Arabidopsis thaliana: one gene and its partners. The protein of the gene in region 1 interacts with the protein of each later gene in a pairwise test. Each region holds a gene or a part of one and is shown in the gene's direction. Other genes may lie near its edges.

Region 1 (4,947 bases):
TTCTTTTTTTTGCTTTAACTTAAACTTTTGTTTCTTCTCACCGCTCGAAAAGATAATCAAATTTAAAGACAGTAAAAACATCAAAGTTTATTAGCTGACACGTGATTGTCACAATCACGTTATTACTATACTTACTACTACACTACCAACAAAATAAAAGAGCACCTTGGTAAAATGATATAATACATTTCTTTTATATCTTATAAAATTCTACAAACCGAAAGATCAAACATGCTCGCGGTCGTATAGTTTTTTTTTTTTTTAATTTATGTTAAAGGGTTTTTTGCGGTCGTATAGTTGTAGACTTGTTTCTACTTTACAATTTCAAAAAGCTGTGTGTTTTGGTGCGCATCGGTGATTTCTAAAACTTAGTTGGATAAGAATATATTGTATGAACAGGAGTTTATCTTTACAATTTTTTAAGACTCCGACTGATAATGAAGAAACGAGAAAATATGAAAATTGTAAGAATAACAGATATAATATAGAATGAAATTTGATTTTTGAAAGTAAGATAATCGTTTTCAAGGAAAAATTTTCTTTATTATTGCAATGAATTTTGTGTAATTCATTTGCTTCCTACAAAATACGACTTTGTTAACTAAAATGACAATGAGCTAATGTTTGATGTTTCATTCCATAACATGACTATATAGTAGTTGAAAGTTGAAACCAGTGGCTCGATGACTATTTGCCATGTAACCTCAAGCAAGAAATTCTCGTGTGGTGTTTTCAAGCAACTCGTCGCGTAGCTAGCTTTATTTTCATGTGGTAGAAAATTACTAATTACTATTTATAAATAAAAAATACTAATCTCCTTACAAATATACTAATGTAGAATCTTTGGAGGTGATAGAGCACTAGTTATTGACCTCAACTTGCAAGAGAACAAAAATAAATACTTTTATAAATATTAAAAACCTTATAGTTAAATCTTATAAGTTGGGTAAAACAGAAGACAGTATATTTGGGTAAACTAAAACCATATTAAAGAAAGACCATAATGTGTAAAAAACAAAGACCATATTGTGTAACAAACAGAGACCATATTTTGAACTTAAATGAGTATATGACGTAGTTCTTATACAAATATACAGTCTGCTTTTTCATTCAAAGGTATATGCAATGATGATAGATATTGAAATTATTGTGTCTAAAAGTGACCCTAGAATCAAAAAACAGTGGTCAAAGATCTACCAGAGCAAATGGTTCAAATATCATTATAGATGGATTTTGAGTCAAATTTTACATTCAAAACTTCTTTTTATTTGTGGCATGAATTTACATTAGTTTTTTTGGGGTCATTTTTATTTTGTTCAATGTCGGATATTGAAAATAAAATATCATGATTCAGCGTATATTTCGATCATAATATCAAATTGCATTATTTAGTCAAACAATTTTGTTAAAAAATATTTCCTAAGATTTATAGAATTCAATACTGTTTTAAACTATTAGTCAAACTATATATATTTTACTGTTATTAAAACAAGGAATAAAATTATGAAATATCAAAAAATATGTAAAGACATATACTATGATTAAATCTTTCAACATTCAATATTTTACCATTGAATATACAAAAATGTTAACTGTTAACTATGCATACAAGACCGAAATACAAATTCCAAAAAACTTATGGCGCAAATCTGATACCGAACTACCAACGATATTCACTCGATTCATCATCTAAAAACTAAAATACAACGAATAAAACCAACTAACTTTTCAATTCTCACCTCAATTTCCTACCACATTTTCATAATTTTCCAACTTCTCACATTTGTTACCATGATAGTCAATTCACTTTCTAAAATCTTCAAATTTTATCTTACATTTTTCATCTTCTTCACCATTATATATAGCCTCTCTCCTTCTCACACAATCTCCATCTTACCCTAAAAACCACATTTCTTAACTTCCTCAATAAAAAAAAGAAAAGCTTCACCCTTTAATTTTACCCTCAACCCCAAAACAAAAACCCCTTCCTCCACGAGGGCATACAGAAATATCAAAGACCCAATCTTTCTTTCACTTCCCCAATCTCTAGATGACAATCTAACGATACAGTTCCTTTTAGATCGATTACCAAATACAAAGGATCAATTTTTCTTACATGAACACTCTGTTGTAATGGCAGAGGAGAATCTAGAACTGAGTCTTTTATGTACAGAGAGCAACGTTGATGATGAGGGCATGATTGTTGACGAAACTCCGATTGAAATTTCGATTCCTCAGATGGGTTTTTCTCAATCGGAGAGTGAGGAGATTATCATGGAGATGGTGGAGAAGGAGAAGCAGCATTTGCCAAGTGATGATTACATCAAGAGACTTAGAAGTGGAGATTTGGATTTGAATGTTGGAAGAAGAGATGCCCTCAATTGGATTTGGAAGGTCTGATTCTCTATTTGATTTTGATTTCTGGTTTTGAAATTTGGATGTTGATTGGTTTTGAATGATCTGTATAAGCTCAAATTGTGAAAAGCACAATCCTTTTGATGAATGATCTGAACATAAAGAGTGTGTTGCTATGTCTATTAGATCAGAGGCTTATGCAGAACAGATAGAGAGGTTTTGTCTTAAATCTGTAAATCTGATGCTCAATTTCCGATCTTTCACACTTCAATTGACAATAGATTCACTTCAGTCTCAGAGTTTTAGATCTCTAATTGATCTTTTCTTCTGTTCTGATTACAACAGGCTTGTGAAGTACACCAGTTTGGACCATTGTGTTTTTGCTTAGCAATGAACTACTTGGATCGATTCTTATCGGTTCATGATTTGCCTGTAAGTTCACATTGGTTAAACTAAAAGATTGATAATGTTTTTAGCCATTCATCATCAAAAAGTCTCATTTTTTCGCTTCTTGATTTGTGATTCTTCTTGTAGAGTGGCAAAGGTTGGATATTGCAGTTGTTGGCTGTGGCTTGTTTATCATTGGCAGCCAAAATTGAAGAAACTGAAGTTCCAATGTTGATAGATCTTCAGGTTCTCCTCTAAACTCGTTAAATTGTCGAGATGTTCTATTCGACCCGACAATGTCTTGAATCGATTGCGGTTTGATCACATTTCGGAACAGGTTGGAGATCCTCAGTTTGTGTTTGAGGCTAAATCAGTCCAAAGAATGGAGCTTTTGGTGTTGAACAAATTGAAATGGAGATTGAGAGCAATAACTCCATGCTCATACATAAGATATTTCCTGAGAAAGATGAGTAAATGTGATCAAGAACCATCCAACACATTGATATCTAGATCATTACAAGTGATAGCCAGCACAACCAAAGGTGAAAAAAAAAGTCTTTCCTTTATGTTTTATTTTCTTGACCACTTTTGTTTTTGTGCTTTTTTGGGTTTTGTTGTTTTTTTCACTTTTGCTTTTTATGATTTTGGATTAAAATGGTGGTTGTGTCGAGTGAGCAGGTATTGACTTTTTGGAGTTTAGACCTTCTGAAGTTGCTGCTGCTGTGGCACTTTCTGTTTCTGGAGAATTGCAGAGAGTACACTTTGACAACTCTTCCTTCTCTCCTCTTTTCTCACTACTTCAAAAGGTAAAAAACAATCCACCAAACATCTCAAACTCATAAATCTATTGTTTTTTAATACCAAACACACACACACATATAAAGCAGCCTTTGGTGGTTCAATTTCAAGGAAATGCCAGTTGTGGAGAAGTTTGAACTCATTAAAGATGACACATTTATGTGTATATATGTGTGTGCACTAACTTATTCATTGCATACACATAATATGTGTAATTATAAATCCAAAAAGTAAAAAAAAAAAAAAAAAAAAAAAGAGAAACCGGTTAATGGGTCTGAATCCTTTGACTTCCAAAACTAGTGGAGAGTAGACCAAAGACCACTTTAAATTATATTATTCTCTAGCTATGTGTCTTGTGACTCTCTCTGTCACACACACACATTCACTGCACAGCCTCTAGTCACATCTAAAACCAATCTGCCCCCACAAAAACATGTTTGATTCTGATTTGATCTTGCAATCCAAAACATCAGCCTGGTTTCCATTAGTTGTTTTTCTACACCAGAAAAAGCTGAAGAGATCTTTGTGTGTTGTGTTTGTGTTTGTGTTCAAGAGACAAAAACAAAAGTGTCAAGCTTTAAACTTTGTGGTTCCTTTTATTGCAGGAGAGAGTGAAGAAGATAGGGGAAATGATAGAGAGTGATGGCTCAGACTTATGTTCACAAACACCCAATGGGGTTTTAGAAGTATCGGCTTGTTGTTTCAGCTTTAAGACCCATGATTCTTCTTCTTCTTATACACATCTTTCTTAAAAAAAAAACTGTTTTTTTCTTACATTATTATAATCAGTATGATGTCTGATGAGAGGTTGAAAAAAGAGGACAATAAATCAAAGCAAAAATTTTTAAATAAATAAAAGTGTATTAATTTCAATATTTGATTTGTTTATAGCTTTGGTAATACTGAACAAATAAAATTATAAGAATTTTTTGTTGGCAGGAAATAGCAAAAAAGAGAAAGAAAATAAAACAAAGGAAAAACAGAGCTTTTTTTAATTGGTTCCCGCCAAATAAATATAGCGGGAAAAAACCGTATCGGTTCTGTTGAGCGTTAGAGTTGACCTTTTTTAATTCAAACGGTGCCGTTGTGAGATAAAGCGCGCATCGCACTAATGGGCTTAGAATTGGGCCCACGAACAGAAGTCTTTGACTTAAAGTTGACGTAAAGAGACCAAAGCTAGGTTGTGCTTTATGGAGCTTTTGCGTTTTATACCTTTTATCAACAAAACTCCAAAATCCCAATATTTTATTGAAAACTTTTTAACAAAAAATAAATAAAATGATTGGACTCCAGGTCCACTAAACCTCTAGGATCTGTAACTATGAAGAAAATGGGCCAATGCTATATTCATTAAATTTAATCATTTGGGTCTACCATTGTCGCATGGCATACTAGCAATTTGATGAT
Region 2 (5,017 bases), on another chromosome or scaffold:
TATAGATTATGCTCTGAGAACTGGACATAATCCAACATCTCTTTGGCACTCCAACCACTCTTCCTCGACCACGAGGTCCTGTAGATCCCGACGAACTTGATGACAGATTGCTCATCTTTCAACTGGAAATAAAAAAATTGGGAATCGATTTAGGGTTCTTGAGTTTTGAGTTTGGGGTTTTAGATTTTGGATTTGGGATTCGACAATGGATCGGGTTTTAAAAACGAATCCGGGTTTTTTTGGTTTGGTTTTGACCGATAATATGGTTTCGTCTCGGGTTTACGTATCAAACCGAAGTAACCACGATTCGGGGACATTAAGCTCTTGAACTTTTAATTGGTGGGGAAATAGACGTTTAACTTTCATTTCATGGGTAAATAGCAAGAGGTCAAAGATCGGGCTTCATCTAGCCAGATGCGATAGTTCCCATGGGGAAATAGACCGTTTTTCCGTAATGTTCTGATGTTAAACAGAATGGTTTTATAACATAACAGTTCATGTATGTATGATTTGGTTCTTACCGGTTAAGTAGATAATGTATGGTGAAAATGGAAAACGACGTCTCTCACAACAAAAAACAACTAAAACCCAAAATCTCGACCCAAAACCGAATTTAACTTCAAATTAAGTAAATATGGCCCGAAGTTATAAGCCCGAATAACAGAGGCCCATTATAAAACCTGGAGCACAAGTTTCTCGTCTATAAGTGCTAGGCTACGCATAGGGCTCCGTGGATTTGTTCTAAGAGGATATTCTCCGTTGATTTGCAATTGTCAATTTCCAAGCTTCAGAACTAGAGTTCGTTCGTTCACGACGTCACTGTGGCTCTCGCGGCGTGGCTGTTACTTTCCGGTGGGTGAGGTACGGTACTTGTTATCTCTCTCCGAAACCCTAAGTAGTCCTTGGATATGTATCTTTGCCTTTTCTTATATTTACGTTTAGGAAGATAATTCGTTTTCTTGGTAGTTTACCCCTTGTATAAATATAGTCATATAGAGCTCAGGGTCAAGTGATAATCAACACATTCAATCGATCTCTTTGCATCTCTTGTCATCAAGGGTTAACTTTATCTATTATTTTGTGTTTCTCTTTGTATAGAAAAGAGATGTCGAGTGATTTGCAATCGAACTCCGGCAGATGTACCTCCGAGGACTAGATATTATGCGGATAGCTCAGCCCGTTTGGTTTTCATGGAGGGGCCTGAGATGGAGAGAAAGATGATGACAAGCTATGCGGGAAACCCAAAGTACTCCTTCTTCTGGAGCTCAGATCGTTATCATGCTTATTACCAGAAAAAGCTTGCTGGATACCGTGCGCAGAATTACATGAGGGACCTGAGATCAAACTTAGTGATTATGGGATACCTGATGTTCCATTGAGGGTGAGGGTAAGGGAACCACCGCTTCAGATTCCAAAACCTCCTCCGGGCTTTGCTAGTGACCAGAAGCCGACAATGAAGTATCCGCCTCCACCACCTCGCAAGTATGCAGCTATACTCCCTGAATGGATTACTGGCAAAGAGCTTGAAACTATCAAGGAAGGGGATATGGACGAGAAACAGCAACGATAGCTCTTAAGAAATCAGCTAAACTCTAGCAAAAACACGTGGATTGCTAATATGCTTTATAGGTTATAGGTTAAATTTGTTGAGGTATAAAACAGTCATTTCAAAAAATCAAAAATTCACGATTAATTTAGCTATTGTTTAAAAGTTTAGATATTAAATAATATTTTTCTCTTTTATAAATCGAAAATGTTTGGATATTAAATGTATAAAAAACTAGAAAAGTAAATAATTGGGCGTTTCTCTTTATTTGTTGTTTCCCTCGATTAGCCGATTGCGTCTGCAAACGCGCCAACGGCTACTTTTTCTCCGGAGCCGGAGCTCTCAAAGCTGAAACCCTAAATTTTCCCGGTATCTTCCTCATCGTCGATTTTACTCAATTTAGAATAAAAATCGGAAAGCAATCGAATTCTAGCGACGTGAATTAAGAAGAAAGAGAGAGGCGCGATTATTGAGTGGGTTCTGAAAAACCCGAAAATGCCGGAGCAGCCAAAGAAAGTTGCTGATAGGTATCTCAAGCAAGAGGTTCTTGGGCAAGGTACCTATGGAGTCGTCTTCAAAGCCACTGATACTAAGGTCATATCTTTGCTGATTTTTGTTTGCAAAATTAGGGTTTAGGATCTGTCGGCAATTCCTAATTTCTCCTTCTTTTTTGGTTCCGGATTTTGATTGAAGTTTTTGTTGGATCAAGGGGAAGTAATTGTGGGGTGTAATTTTGCAGACGGAACAAACTGTAGCAATTAAGAAGATAAGGCTTGGTAAACAAAGAGAAGGTGTAAATATTACAGCTCTCAGAGAAATCAAAATGCTCAAAGAGCTAAAGCATCCTCATATTATTCTGCTCATTGATGCATTTCCTCACAAGGAAAACTTGCATCTTGTCTTTGAGTTCATGGAGACTGACCTCGAAGCAGTTATTCGCGATTCTAACATTTTCCTCTCACCCGCCGACATTAAATCCTACCTCCTAATGACATTTAAAGGACTTGCTTATTGCCACGATAAATGGGTTTTGCACAGGTACATTTGTTTATCCTTAACAACTTGCTTATTGTCTCTGTAATGTTGCTTGGTTTGGGCACTGATTATGTGTGGCTTGAGTTCAGGGATATGAAGCCAAATAACTTGTTAATAGGAGTTGATGGACAGCTTAAGCTTGCAGATTTTGGCTTAGCACGTATATTTGGTAGTCCAAATCGTAAGTTTACCCACCAGGTATGCCTTTTGCCGCATTGCCATTTTATCTATTGCTGTAATATAACCAAATTGATCGACTAACTCATATGAAATATTGATAAGAAAGTTTTAAGTAGTTCTTATCAGTAGTTATGTCTAGGGATGAGGAAGATTAGATGTCTCATGTCTTTTCATTTCTCTAGTTGTATACTAAATGTAACATGTATTAAACAGTCTCAACTCATATTAAATGATGGTGCAGTAGCTATCTCATATCTGTACTAAAAGTTTTGCTGTTAACCGGATTTTTGACCTGAGCTATTTCTGCCTTCTTTGTTTCCCTTTGAACACCCAAAATTACAATAGAATCCATGTGAGCTCTGTTTCCAAATGCGCAATGCAACTTATTTTCTCTTGTTTCTAGTTGTTATATTATCTTCATATCTTGATATATCTGATAATGCACAGGTGTTTGCTAGATGGTACAGAGCACCAGAACTTTTGTTTGGTGCAAAACAATATGGTGCTGCAGTTGATGTTTGGGCCGTTGCCTGCATATTCGCCGAACTTCTACTACGCAGACCATTTCTTCAGGTTAAATAATCTTACTCAAATCTAATGGCTACCATTAAAACTTTAGTCCAATTGTCATCTCTTTGGATGTTATACTCACTCTCAGACTACATAATTACATATTCATTATCAATTTTCTCGGTATGTTTACTTATTCTATTTTTGCCGTTGCAGGGAAACAGTGATATTGATCAATTAAGCAAAATATTTGCTGCTTTTGGGACACCAAAAGCAGATCAGTGGCCGGATTTAACAAAGCTTCCAGATTATGTAGAGTATCAATTTGTCCCTGCACCGTCTCTACGTTCTTTATTCCCAGCAGTTAGTGATGATGCTCTCGACTTGTTGTCCAAAATGTTTACCTATGACCCAAAGGCTAGAATTTCCATTAAGCAGGCTCTAGAACACAGGTGCCTAATGTTCACCATCTGTTTATAGGCAAAGTATATCTAGCGTTCTGCTCTCACACCTTTGTTTTCATTATTTCAGGTACTTCACTTCTGCACCTGCTCCTACTGACCCGGCTAAGCTCCCAAAGCCCGTTCCTAAGCAGGATGGTAAATCATCTTACGGTAAACATGAGGCCATTACAGTGCAATCACCACCACGTAAGCTTAGAAGAGTGATGCCTGAGCGTGGGAGGGTTGATAGTTTGAAGTCTCATGTTGACAAGGATCAACAAGCACCCATGTCATTAGATTTTACCATCCTCGCTGAGCGACCTCCAAACAGGCCAACAATCACCAGGTAAAAAACAAGACAGTTTCTCCCTCACTGCATATTAATCTCATTTGTCATTACAGCCTCAAGATTGATTGTGTTTTAATGACTTCTTCTTGTTCAATTTGTAGTGCTGATAGATCTCATCTGAAGAGGAAACTCGATCTTGAGTTCCAGTAAGACTGTTGGTTATGCACTCTTCTCTTAGCTTCTCCATTTTCATGTTCTGGTGAAACCACACCATTGTTAAGTTGTCAATTTACTGCTGCTTGTGTAATCTGGCGATTTATTCTTTTCCATATTTAGCTTGATTACAAACCAGAGGGACCTTAGATTCACAATGATAATATTTTGTTGTCCCATAGGCTTTTTATTCATTGTAAACTGATCATACTGTACTATGAAGTCTATGATTATAAAGCTTTCTACTTTTTGCTTCTAGAATTCTTTGCGGTACAAAGAGAGCTCTGTTTAATCTTCAAACTCATTTTTCTTTCGATGGTGGCCCCAGGAATTTAATTGATCCATTGACAGCTCAAAAAGATTTTACCAAATACCAACAACAGGTTTATAAAACACATACGAGCCAGAAAAACAGATGCCCACATGTCAGTCAGGCTCTTCTTTAGTCATACCCGCTTGAAGACTATCACGATTGCTGTGCAGTTGTCTTTGCAACGACGTTCTTTCACAGCTTCCTTCACAAGACGGCGACTTACCGTGCTTACATGCAAGCCCTCCTACAAAATCATAGTTCTTAGCCTCTTAGTTTCTCACATTTAATTTCCCTTGACACTCTTTACTTGTGTGCACAAGGTTCTAACAAGCCATTTTGCTCACATGGCTACCGAAAAACATCTGTTTTTTGAGCTTCTTTCTATGTAGTTAAAGAGAGTGTGAAATGGAGGACAAAGTGATTTTGACAACTGTAGGTATTTACCTTCAAAAGTTTCTGGACAAATCCAACAGCATCACTTGGTCCAA
Region 3 (4,495 bases), on another chromosome or scaffold:
GGAATATCCTTCATGGGTCAGACCTAGTTTGTTTAACCTTGGTAGCTATGGCGCTACTTATGTATGTTGCCATCCTTTGGTCTCTTCATGCGATTATATGTCACCGGGAAATGGAGTAGAACTGTTTGATGGTAGTGCGGATTGTTACATTTTCGGCTCATGCTCTGGTCTTCTCCTATTGTACATTGGTTGTCTCTTTGTTGCAAATCCCTTAACAAAAAGGTTTCGAATCCTGGATCATTCTGGATCAAAGCTTATACCAATGATAGTTAATGGTGGACTTAAAGGTCTTAGCGGAATTAGTTATCCTGGAGGTAATGTTGCTTGTACGGAACGAGCGATGTGCGTTGGATTTGCGGTAAATCGAAATCTAACAACCAAGAGATTCAAGATCGTGGGCATACTCGAGATGGAAAACGTATACGGATTCGAGATCAACGAAGGAGACTCTTGGAGATTATCGGAAACGAGTATCACCACTAGCTCAAAAAGTGATCTCACTACGCGGATGAAACCTGTTTACTTGGACAACACTCTTCACTGGCTGAGAAACGATGGCAGCATCATGTCTTTTAATCCCGAGACAGAGCAAGCATGCTTGATTCCTTCCATATTTCATCGGGAACCGGATACGAAGCTACTTTTCGCGGAAAGCGTTAAGATCAATCGCCTGACCCTAATTTCGGGGACGATAGAAACAATCTCCGTTTACACACTTGTCGAGAATCACAAATGGACACTCACAAGGCGGATCAAGAACATATCTATCGAGGAAGAAACGCTTGTATATTGGAACATAGCTATGTACGATGGCAAGTGTCTTGTGGTGAGGGTGAAAAAGATGGGTTTAGAACCTTTGGCAAGTGTTCTTCATGTGTACGACATGGAAGCTAACAGTTGGGGAGTTTTGGTGTCAACCCTTGCTTGGCCCAATTGCGTCCGAGATTTCTATAAATTGACGCCCTCCTTGTTCTTTGTAGAGGAGGATGAGCAACAGAAGGTGCTTGTTGCTTCTAATGACCGACGCATCTCCTATATAAATTCGATTATGGGACTCATTGATACCACCAAGTAAACATTTAGGGCCTATAGATTATACAAAAAATGTCCTGATTTATAAGAATGTTTGTTTCCCATTTGCTTTTATCATTGCACTATTATGGTTTATGTATTTCAAATCTAAAAATTAGTTGTATATTACTATTTCTTTTGGGACAAAAAATCATTTAAGACAATGTTGTTTAAGAACTTGTTCTTCTCTGGCTTGTCAATTTTTCGTCCTGCCCAATAAAGGCCCATCTTGTGTGTTTTGTCGAATCTAACAACAAACTCACACCTTTTGACCAAAAAACAAACTCTCCCCTTTTTTTTTTCCTTTCGTGTAGCTAAACCGTCTCCGGATGTTGACAAACATTGGTTATTCACTTTTTCCACGTCACACTTAAAAACAGAACATAAAAAAAAAACTAATGACGACGCTCCAGTTTTGAATTTTGAAAAAAGAAAAAAAGAACCGTTGAAAAAACATGAGTGCTCAAAGAGGGAATATACCTTTTTAATAATCTCCTTCCTATTTAAACCAATTCTCGAATCTAATTACATTTCCTCTCTCTTTCCCCAAATTGAAAACAAAATCTGAGATTCGCGAAGGAAGAAGAAGAGTTGTCTTGAGAGATTGATAGAGATGGACAACAATGGAGTTAAACCCGCTGTTTCCGCCATGGAAGCCTTTGAAAAGCTTGAGAAAGTAGGTGAAGGGACTTATGGGAAAGTTTACAGAGCAAGAGAGAAAGCTACTGGGATGATCGTTGCTTTGAAGAAGACGCGTCTCCATGAGGATGAAGAAGGTGTTCCTCCCACTACTCTTCGCGAGATCTCTATCTTGCGTATGCTCGCTCGTGATCCTCACATCGTTAGGTTCGATTTCCTTTTACATTTCTGATTCGGTTCAGTCACTTTCTGAAATTCTCCGATTTACTGGTTTTGATTGTGGATTTAGGACTCAATTTCGATTTCTAGGGTTTAGTCCCGATTAATTGATGTCTCAATTGATTTGATGACTCTGATTCTTCCTGCAAATCGCGCTTAGTGTCGCTCTTAGGTGTTACTGGTAGATCTTAGTTTCAGTTTGCTATTTGTTGTGTGGTCCGATCGAGATAAAATGGGTTCCTTATCTTATCCGAATACTAGAAAATGTCAAAGTAGAAGCTCTGTGTTGTGATCTCAGTTTCAACTATTTTTGTGGTGATTGCATTTCTACTGAGAGATTATTGTTATGATGATTATCTTCTTCTACAGGTTGATGGATGTTAAGCAAGGAATAAACAAAGAAGGAAAAACTGTACTTTACCTTGTTTTCGAGTATGTTGATACTGATCTCAAGAAATTCATCAGAAGCTTTCGTCAAGCTGGACAGAACATTCCACAAAATACTGTCAAGGTTTGGATATTTGGAGATTTTGTTCTGCTTTTTTTCTCTCATCCGATAAGCCCCTTTAAGCTAAGAGAAACATGTTCTTGAATTGCAGTGCTTGATGTACCAGTTATGCAAAGGCATGGCTTTTTGCCATGGTCATGGAGTGTTGCACAGGTAAAAATCGTCTTTGTTTTGGAAGAACTATGACTTGAGATAACCCATTTTGACACAGATCTCTAATCCTACTTGTCTTGGTTTCATTACAGGGATCTTAAGCCTCACAATCTCTTGATGGACCGGAAGACAATGACGCTCAAAATAGCAGATCTTGGATTAGCCAGAGCCTTCACTCTCCCAATGAAAAAGTATACACATGAGGTATATAAGTCTACGTTGATGAAACATTAGTCCTGTTTCATTCTAGTTTTTTTTTTTTTTTTTAATTCTATCTTAGTTTATCTGGAGTTATAACTCAGGATGATTTTACCCCCATGATTTCATTTGCAACAGATTCTAACTCTATGGTATAGAGCTCCGGAAGTTCTTCTTGGAGCAACCCATTACTCTACTGGAGTGGATATGTGGTCTGTTGGCTGTATTTTTGGTACAAAATCTTCTCTTACAGTTTCACTGGTTTCAGTTCAATGTCACTAGCAAGAACTAACAGTTTTGTTTCCTTTTTGATGTGTAGCTGAACTAGTGACCAAGCAAGCAATCTTTGCGGGAGACTCTGAGCTCCAACAGCTCCTCCGTATATTCAGGTAAGTCTTTGTGTTCATCTTTACCTTTAAGACACAAACATGACATTCGCTAACTTGGTTGTTCTGTTTCTTTCTTTCCTGTCAAACTCAGGTTGTTGGGAACACCAAACGAAGAAGTTTGGCCTGGAGTAAGCAAACTCAAGGACTGGCATGAATACCCGCAATGGAAACCGTTGAGTCTCTCCACAGCTGTGCCAAACCTCGACGAGGCTGGACTTGATCTCTTATCTGTAAGTCTCTAGTGTCTAACACACCTCTCAGACCTTGCTTGATTAGTAGATAATCACTCTGCTGAGACTAATTTGTGTTTCTCTTTGTGCACAGAAAATGCTGGAGTACGAGCCAGCAAAACGAATCTCAGCAAAGAAAGCTATGGAGCATCCTTACTTCGATGATTTGCCTGACAAGTCCTCTCTCTGAGGCTCTCTTTATAAACTCTCAATAGGATATTTTGTTCTATCTCTGTCTTTGCTTGTCTCAAGCATTTATCTGCTATCTTAGGATGATTGAAGTTTCAATATTCCCTTTTGATTGGGTCTCTATTCCCAATTGTATAACCTTCCAACATTTTTATCAATGAAAGAATATATCAGTTTCTCTAATATTTCAAAGTAGCAAGATTTGCAACTGTTTCCCATTTGTGTAAGTGTGTGTGTGTGGATGTTCAGGCTACGAGCCACATGAAGAATGTTGGCCAGACAGTGAGAGAAACTGAAGCCAAGGCATAACTCCAGAATAGAATCACAGAGCATTCACTTTCTCCTGATCCGAATAGTTGAGTGATTGTACCTGCCAAAAGGTCAAGTGAGTTTATGAGAAAGACAGTGTGATGACATGTTTTGGTAGTATTTTTGTGAGTCTGAAGAACGAACCAAGATTCATCGCTGGGGGAACGACATACTGAAGCAGAAGAACAAACTGGTAAAGCGGTTCGGATGTAACCAAACCCAAGTAATGCGCTCCTCGTACTATGAAAACTCCTAATATTGGCAGCAACAAGTAACGCACAACCACCACACCCATTATGACTGACTTGTTTATTCCTGAACCTCTCAGACCTGTGATTATTATAAGAGAGAGAACAGAGATTTAAGGTTTTGTCTTAGGAAAAAAAGTTTCTGCAGCCATTTGTTATTGTTTATCTACCATTGAGAAGGTTTCCTCCAACAATCAGAGTCAGAACAGGAATCGCCCCGTCCCTTCAAGAAAATTAAGCTACTCAAGTAAGCATTGTTAATTATCACTGACAAGTGAGATTTTTAATATGTTGTAGAATACCCCAATAGAGATACTGAGTCCTCAATCACTCGAAGTGGAG
Region 4 (4,985 bases), on another chromosome or scaffold:
ATTGCAAAATTTAAAAGTCTCCAAAGAACCAAGGATCTTCTCATCTACCCGAGGCAGTTGCATAAACCCTAGTTTTTTACAAGAAAAACAAATAACACGCTAAACATTGCTTCGGAATCAAAATAATAACCATATAATTCTCAAATTATAGCGAATAATCCTTACCAAAAAGAAATTATAACGGAAAATTAAAGATGAATCCGAATAAATAATTGTTGAGTAGAAATAAAGAAAAATAAAAAATAGAGAAGGTGAAAGAAGATGTAGAGCTCCCTTCAATCCAAAGAAGAGTAAAAGCCATTAAAGGGCAAGTTAAAGCTCCTGAGATATGCAATCCATATAACCAAATCCTTTTTTACTTTACAAGGATTAGGGCTTATGGGATCCATAGCTTAGCAGCTTTTCTTTACCCTGCTCAACTCATGTTTGAACTTTAAGGAGCTCTACTTCCATCGTCAGATCAAGATCTATCGAAAAACAAAGTATCTTGTCAAATATATTATGGATCTGACATAAGCAAACTGTAAAGACCTTTAACTCTTCATAAAACAATGAGAAAGTTTTGATGAGAACGTGGATTAACAAAAACACCAAAAGAGGTAAATCTCTTACATTAGAGCTATGAAGGAGATATAAAGACAGAACAAAAGAGAGGAGGAACCCTAATTATTAACCCTAAACATACTTAGAGAGAAGGAAAGAGAGAGAGAGAAGAGGCCACGTCATGTTTTGGAAGAAATGATAGATAGAGAGTCGTAATTATAGTGGTTTAGATATTCGTGATAGAAGAATAAAAAGAAAAGAAAAAAAGGAACAGGTGGGTGCATCTGAAAAGACATGGGAAGGGTCTGACATTGTTTGTGTTAGATTCCCTACGCGTCACATGCGTCCTTCTCGGCTTTTGTGCTTCACTCTTTTTTTTTTTGGGTAAAGATAATAAAAATAACAATTATTATCGTTCCTGCCAACTACTAGTCCACTACATTTTTAAGATGTAACTTTGAAAATGAATTTGGCCGACCATTCTTTATTTCTTTTAGAAAATAATGTACAAGTGTTTCCGTTTGGTGACCTAATTCTAAATCATTTGTTAGCCCTAACAACTAGAAATTTCAACACGAAATAGTGAAATAGGTTGATGTACGGTCAGGATTATAAGTCTGATGATGTGGGCACGAAAGCAGGTAATTATTTCTCTGTCTGAGCAGAATCTATTGCTAGATTTATTACAACGAACTTGTCTTATTACCCTCACGAGTCTCGTCTCTTTCACAATTCAATGGCTTATTTTTAAGTGTGTTTTTTTATCCATCGTGTAAGTTTTTTTTTGAGTTGTTTAAATAAAAATTTGTATGATGAAAAATGTTCACTAGCAAAATACTTGACCCTGAAGTATCCTAAATTTTTCTGGTTCATACTCAAATGTTAGGCTTACTTTGTTTTCTTTGGTCACCTAAAAAAAAGTGGACTGATCAGCCTAATTATTTGTGCAAACTTTAATGATTGGGCTGCATCTCTTTCTTATGAGCCCATTATATGGGCCCAGAAGTTAACAGTTGCTTGTCTAACCTTCTCGGAATAGTTATTTGGGCCTTATATTTGGGCTTGATTCCACGCTTCATGAAACGGAAGTTAATCCGGTAGTGTTCTCCTGGTCCATGCTGCGGAAAATATGAGCAAGGTTAATTTGGCAACTTGTTGATGCAGCTTTTTATTTTCTTGGATTTTTTTTTTAATTTCTAAGTATGTTTAGGCAATGTTCCAATATTCATACAGCTAAAAAAATGTTAATATTCACAATCATCTTTTGTTTAACCACTAACTTATAACATTTTAAACCGAAGAATAATTGACGAGTCAATGTTGAGTAAACCGGAACAATTTTGCTTTTCATTTATAAACCTTTAAACGACGTCGTTACGATAGACGCTTCCAGCTTCGTTTTATTTCTAGCTTTAGAGCGTCTCTTTCCTTTTTCGTTTACTTTTCAATATTTTCCCCTAAAAATGTCGATTCCTTCTGTAATTGCTCTAACGGCTACTTTTTCTCCAGAGCATCATAAGATACCTCAACGTTAACGATAACAAATTAATTAAGATCAGTTTCGATCAATTGCTTGTGATCCGATTAGAGAGTTCCGGAGATGGAACAGCCGAAGAAAGTTGCTGATAGGTATCTAAAGCGAGAGGTTCTTGGTCAAGGTACTTATGGAGTCGTCTTCAAAGCTACTGATACAAAGGTGAAGATGATTCCTCTCTCAATTCTTCATATTTTTTGTCGATCCCATCGAAACTAGGGTTCCAATTCTGTCGTGTGTCTTTTGACGTGTCTCTTCCTGGGAACAATTTGGTTAAATCTGATAGCTCTTAGGTTTTAAATCAGCTAAAGTTTCGATCTTTACACTAATATGTGTTCTTAGAAGTCAAAGTTTGCATTTTTATGTTCTTAATGGATTTAAAGTGTGTAGTTTTTGTTTAAGTTTGTATAAGGAAGCTGATTTGTTTTGTTGTGGCAATTTGTAGAATGGAGAAACTGTAGCGATCAAGAAAATAAGACTTGGTAAAGAGAAAGAAGGTGTGAATGTAACAGCTCTTAGAGAAATCAAATTACTTAAAGAGCTTAAGCATCCACATATAATTGAGTTGATTGATGCGTTTCCTCACAAGGAGAATTTGCACATCGTGTTTGAGTTCATGGAGACTGATCTCGAAGCAGTTATCCGAGATCGTAATCTCTATCTTTCGCCTGGTGATGTCAAATCTTACCTCCAAATGATATTGAAAGGTCTTGAATATTGCCATGGCAAATGGGTTCTGCACAGGTACTATCATTGGAACTTAGAAGCAGAACTTGTTCTATCTCTAATAAGGTCTGTTTTGATTTAAACTTATGGATGATCATTCGTATTTGTTTCAGAGATATGAAGCCAAACAACTTGTTGATAGGACCCAATGGACAGCTGAAACTTGCAGATTTTGGGTTAGCACGTATATTTGGTAGCCCAGGTCGTAAGTTTACCCACCAGGTATGCTTTGTTTGTTGTGACAATGCTATTTATGTAGTAGTTCTGCTATCTTTCGTATCTTGATGTCCTTTAGCAATTTTCATAGGTGTTTGCTAGATGGTATAGAGCACCTGAACTTTTGTTTGGTGCAAAACAATATGATGGTGCAGTTGATGTTTGGGCTGCTGGCTGCATTTTTGCTGAACTTCTATTACGCAGACCATTTCTTCAGGTGAACCTCCATTTTGATTGTGTAGTAATCCAGTGCATCTGTCTACTTGTTTATCTAACTTACTTATTCCATTGCAGGGAAACAGTGATATTGATCAATTAAGCAAAATCTTTGCTGCCTTTGGGACTCCAAAAGCAGATCAGTGGCCTGACATGATCTGCCTTCCTGATTATGTAGAGTATCAATTTGTCCCTGCTCCTTCTTTACGTTCTTTACTCCCAACGGTTAGTGAGGATGCTTTAGATTTGTTGTCAAAGATGTTCACCTATGACCCCAAGTCTAGAATATCGATTCAGCAGGCTCTAAAACACAGGTACCTAAAAATCTCCCCTATGGATAATGCATAAGAACAGGTTATTTAGTTTTGTTCTCAAACCTTGATTTCTTTTTAAAGGTACTTCACATCTGCACCTTCACCTACTGACCCTTTAAAGCTCCCAAGACCAGTTTCCAAGCAAGATGCTAAGTCATCTGATAGTAAACTTGAAGCCATTAAAGTGCTGTCACCAGCACATAAGTTTAGAAGAGTGATGCCTGACCGAGGAAAGTCTGGTAATGGTTTCAAGGACCAGAGTGTTGATGTCATGAGACAAGCTAGCCATGATGGACAAGCACCAATGTCTTTAGATTTCACCATCTTAGCTGAGCGGCCACCAAACCGACCAACCATCACCAGGTAAAAACAATTGGTTTTATTACAGTCAGTTCTTGGTCAGCTTAAAAAATGAAAACTTTTGATGAATTCTTGATTTTTGGATTTGCAGTGCAGATAGATCTCATCTGAAGAGGAAACTTGATCTCGAGTTCCTATAGGATATCGCGTAACAGGCTTCTTCTTGACGTCGTTCTTCAGGTTCCTATAGCCTATAGGATCTCTCTTACTGGTTGGTTCCGTTCAGTAATTCCTGAAATTTTTCATATCACAACTAGTGATGACGAATAGTTTGAATCATTCTTTCTGTCTAAAATAAAGAATATAAAGCACAGATGATTAACTAATCATCATGTACACCCTTCATAGAAAAATCTCTGTTTTTGGCCTATGTTTAGAAGAGAGCTCTGATCCCAAACTCATTCTTCGTTCATTTCCAATTTAAAGTCCAGAATTTTTAGTATCGAACACGTTGGTGTATTACATATATGAATTTTTGATCTCATTACACTAATGCTCGATGAGAATGGAAACACATCCAAGGAATTTCAATAACTATGTAACAATGGTAAAGTTTTCTAAAGACCAATGTACGGCCACATCAATTAGAAATTCCCAATAAGTTCATATGGGCATACAAGAATAAAGCACTCATTAAGCTCATTTGCAACTGCTTTTTCCTCAGACGTTTATTGATCATTGGACGTCACCATCTTTGTCATCTGAAGATCCGACTCTGTTCGTAGCTTTCTTTGCCTAATCATGTAAAACAAGAAACAGAATCACATTATGGCAGAGTTATTATACATATAAAACTGAGCCGATCAGTTAAAAGGTTTTACCTCTTTATCCCAGTTTGTGAATATAGTGACTAAGGAAAGACACAACACTTGAACAGACAATGCTGTTACGATTCCCAGCCAAAGCCCCTACAATATGAAAATACCACAAAATAAAAGTTTCTATAAAACTAGTCTTGTGTTTGAACTTGAGAATGAGAAGGAGAGTTTAAGATTATTACCCGACCACCAATGTGGAAATGGAAACCAAGTAACAATCCTAATGGAACTCCAACAAGATAATATGATCCAAGATTC

What was found.
Region 2: the proteins of CYCD4;1 (region 1) and CDKD1;3 interact in a protein complementation assay, tested with the Arabidopsis thaliana proteins (one large-scale study listed by BioGRID).
Region 3: the proteins of CYCD4;1 (region 1) and CDKB2;2 interact in a two-hybrid assay, tested with the Arabidopsis thaliana proteins (one large-scale study listed by BioGRID).
Region 4: the proteins of CYCD4;1 (region 1) and CDKD1;1 interact in a protein complementation assay, tested with the Arabidopsis thaliana proteins (one large-scale study listed by BioGRID).

Annotation. Positions count from the first base shown.
Region 1 is NC_003076.8:26,140,937-26,145,883, reverse strand, and holds CYCD4;1 (CYCLIN D4;1), read left to right. Parts: upstream 1-1,890; 5' UTR 1,891-2,133; coding exon 2,134-2,394; intron 2,395-2,541; coding exon 2,542-2,571; intron 2,572-2,700; coding exon 2,701-2,787; intron 2,788-2,889; coding exon 2,890-2,988; intron 2,989-3,079; coding exon 3,080-3,284; coding exon of another isoform or gene 3,285-3,358; intron 3,359-3,420; coding exon 3,421-3,548; coding exon of another isoform or gene 3,549-3,584; exon of another isoform or gene 3,585-3,771; coding exon of another isoform or gene 3,772-3,774; exon of another isoform or gene 3,775-4,145; coding exon 4,146-4,292; 3' UTR 4,293-4,414; downstream 4,415-4,947. UniProt on the Arabidopsis thaliana protein: May activate cell cycle in the root apical meristem (RAM) and promote embryonic root (radicle) protrusion.
Region 2 is NC_003070.9:6,206,324-6,211,340, reverse strand, and holds CDKD1;3 (cyclin-dependent kinase D1;3), read left to right. Parts: upstream 1-1,812; 5' UTR 1,813-2,041; coding exon 2,042-2,140; intron 2,141-2,285; coding exon 2,286-2,584; intron 2,585-2,670; coding exon 2,671-2,779; intron 2,780-2,879; exon of another isoform or gene 2,880-3,195; intron 3,196-3,208; coding exon 3,209-3,334; intron 3,335-3,487; coding exon 3,488-3,723; intron 3,724-3,802; coding exon 3,803-4,060; intron 4,061-4,164; coding exon 4,165-4,213; 3' UTR 4,214-4,470; downstream 4,471-5,017. Other genes in the region: AT1G18050 (SWAP/surp RNA-binding domain protein), read left to right, coding at 1-75, 786-856, 1,099-1,379; AT1G18030 (Protein phosphatase 2C family protein), read right to left, coding at 4,663-4,773, 4,974-5,017.
Region 3 is NC_003070.9:7,291,854-7,296,348, reverse strand, and holds CDKB2;2 (cyclin-dependent kinase B2;2), read left to right. Parts: upstream 1-1,602; 5' UTR 1,603-1,684; coding exon 1,685-1,917; intron 1,918-2,298; coding exon 2,299-2,440; intron 2,441-2,528; coding exon 2,529-2,590; intron 2,591-2,682; coding exon 2,683-2,794; intron 2,795-2,926; coding exon 2,927-3,020; intron 3,021-3,107; coding exon 3,108-3,177; intron 3,178-3,268; coding exon 3,269-3,407; intron 3,408-3,501; coding exon 3,502-3,597; 3' UTR 3,598-3,841; downstream 3,842-4,495. Other genes in the region: AT1G20940 (F-box family protein), read left to right, coding at 1-1,075; AT1G20925 (Auxin efflux carrier family protein), read right to left, coding at 3,842-3,966, 4,050-4,235, 4,324-4,376, 4,456-4,495.
Region 4 is NC_003070.9:27,712,970-27,717,954, forward strand, and holds CDKD1;1 (cyclin-dependent kinase D1;1), read left to right. Parts: upstream 1-1,940; 5' UTR 1,941-2,143; coding exon 2,144-2,239; intron 2,240-2,522; coding exon 2,523-2,821; intron 2,822-2,916; coding exon 2,917-3,025; intron 3,026-3,110; coding exon 3,111-3,236; intron 3,237-3,313; coding exon 3,314-3,549; intron 3,550-3,630; coding exon 3,631-3,912; intron 3,913-4,000; coding exon 4,001-4,049; 3' UTR 4,050-4,451; downstream 4,452-4,985. Other genes in the region: AT1G73700 (MATE efflux family protein), read right to left, coding at 4,585-4,644, 4,731-4,817, 4,910-4,985.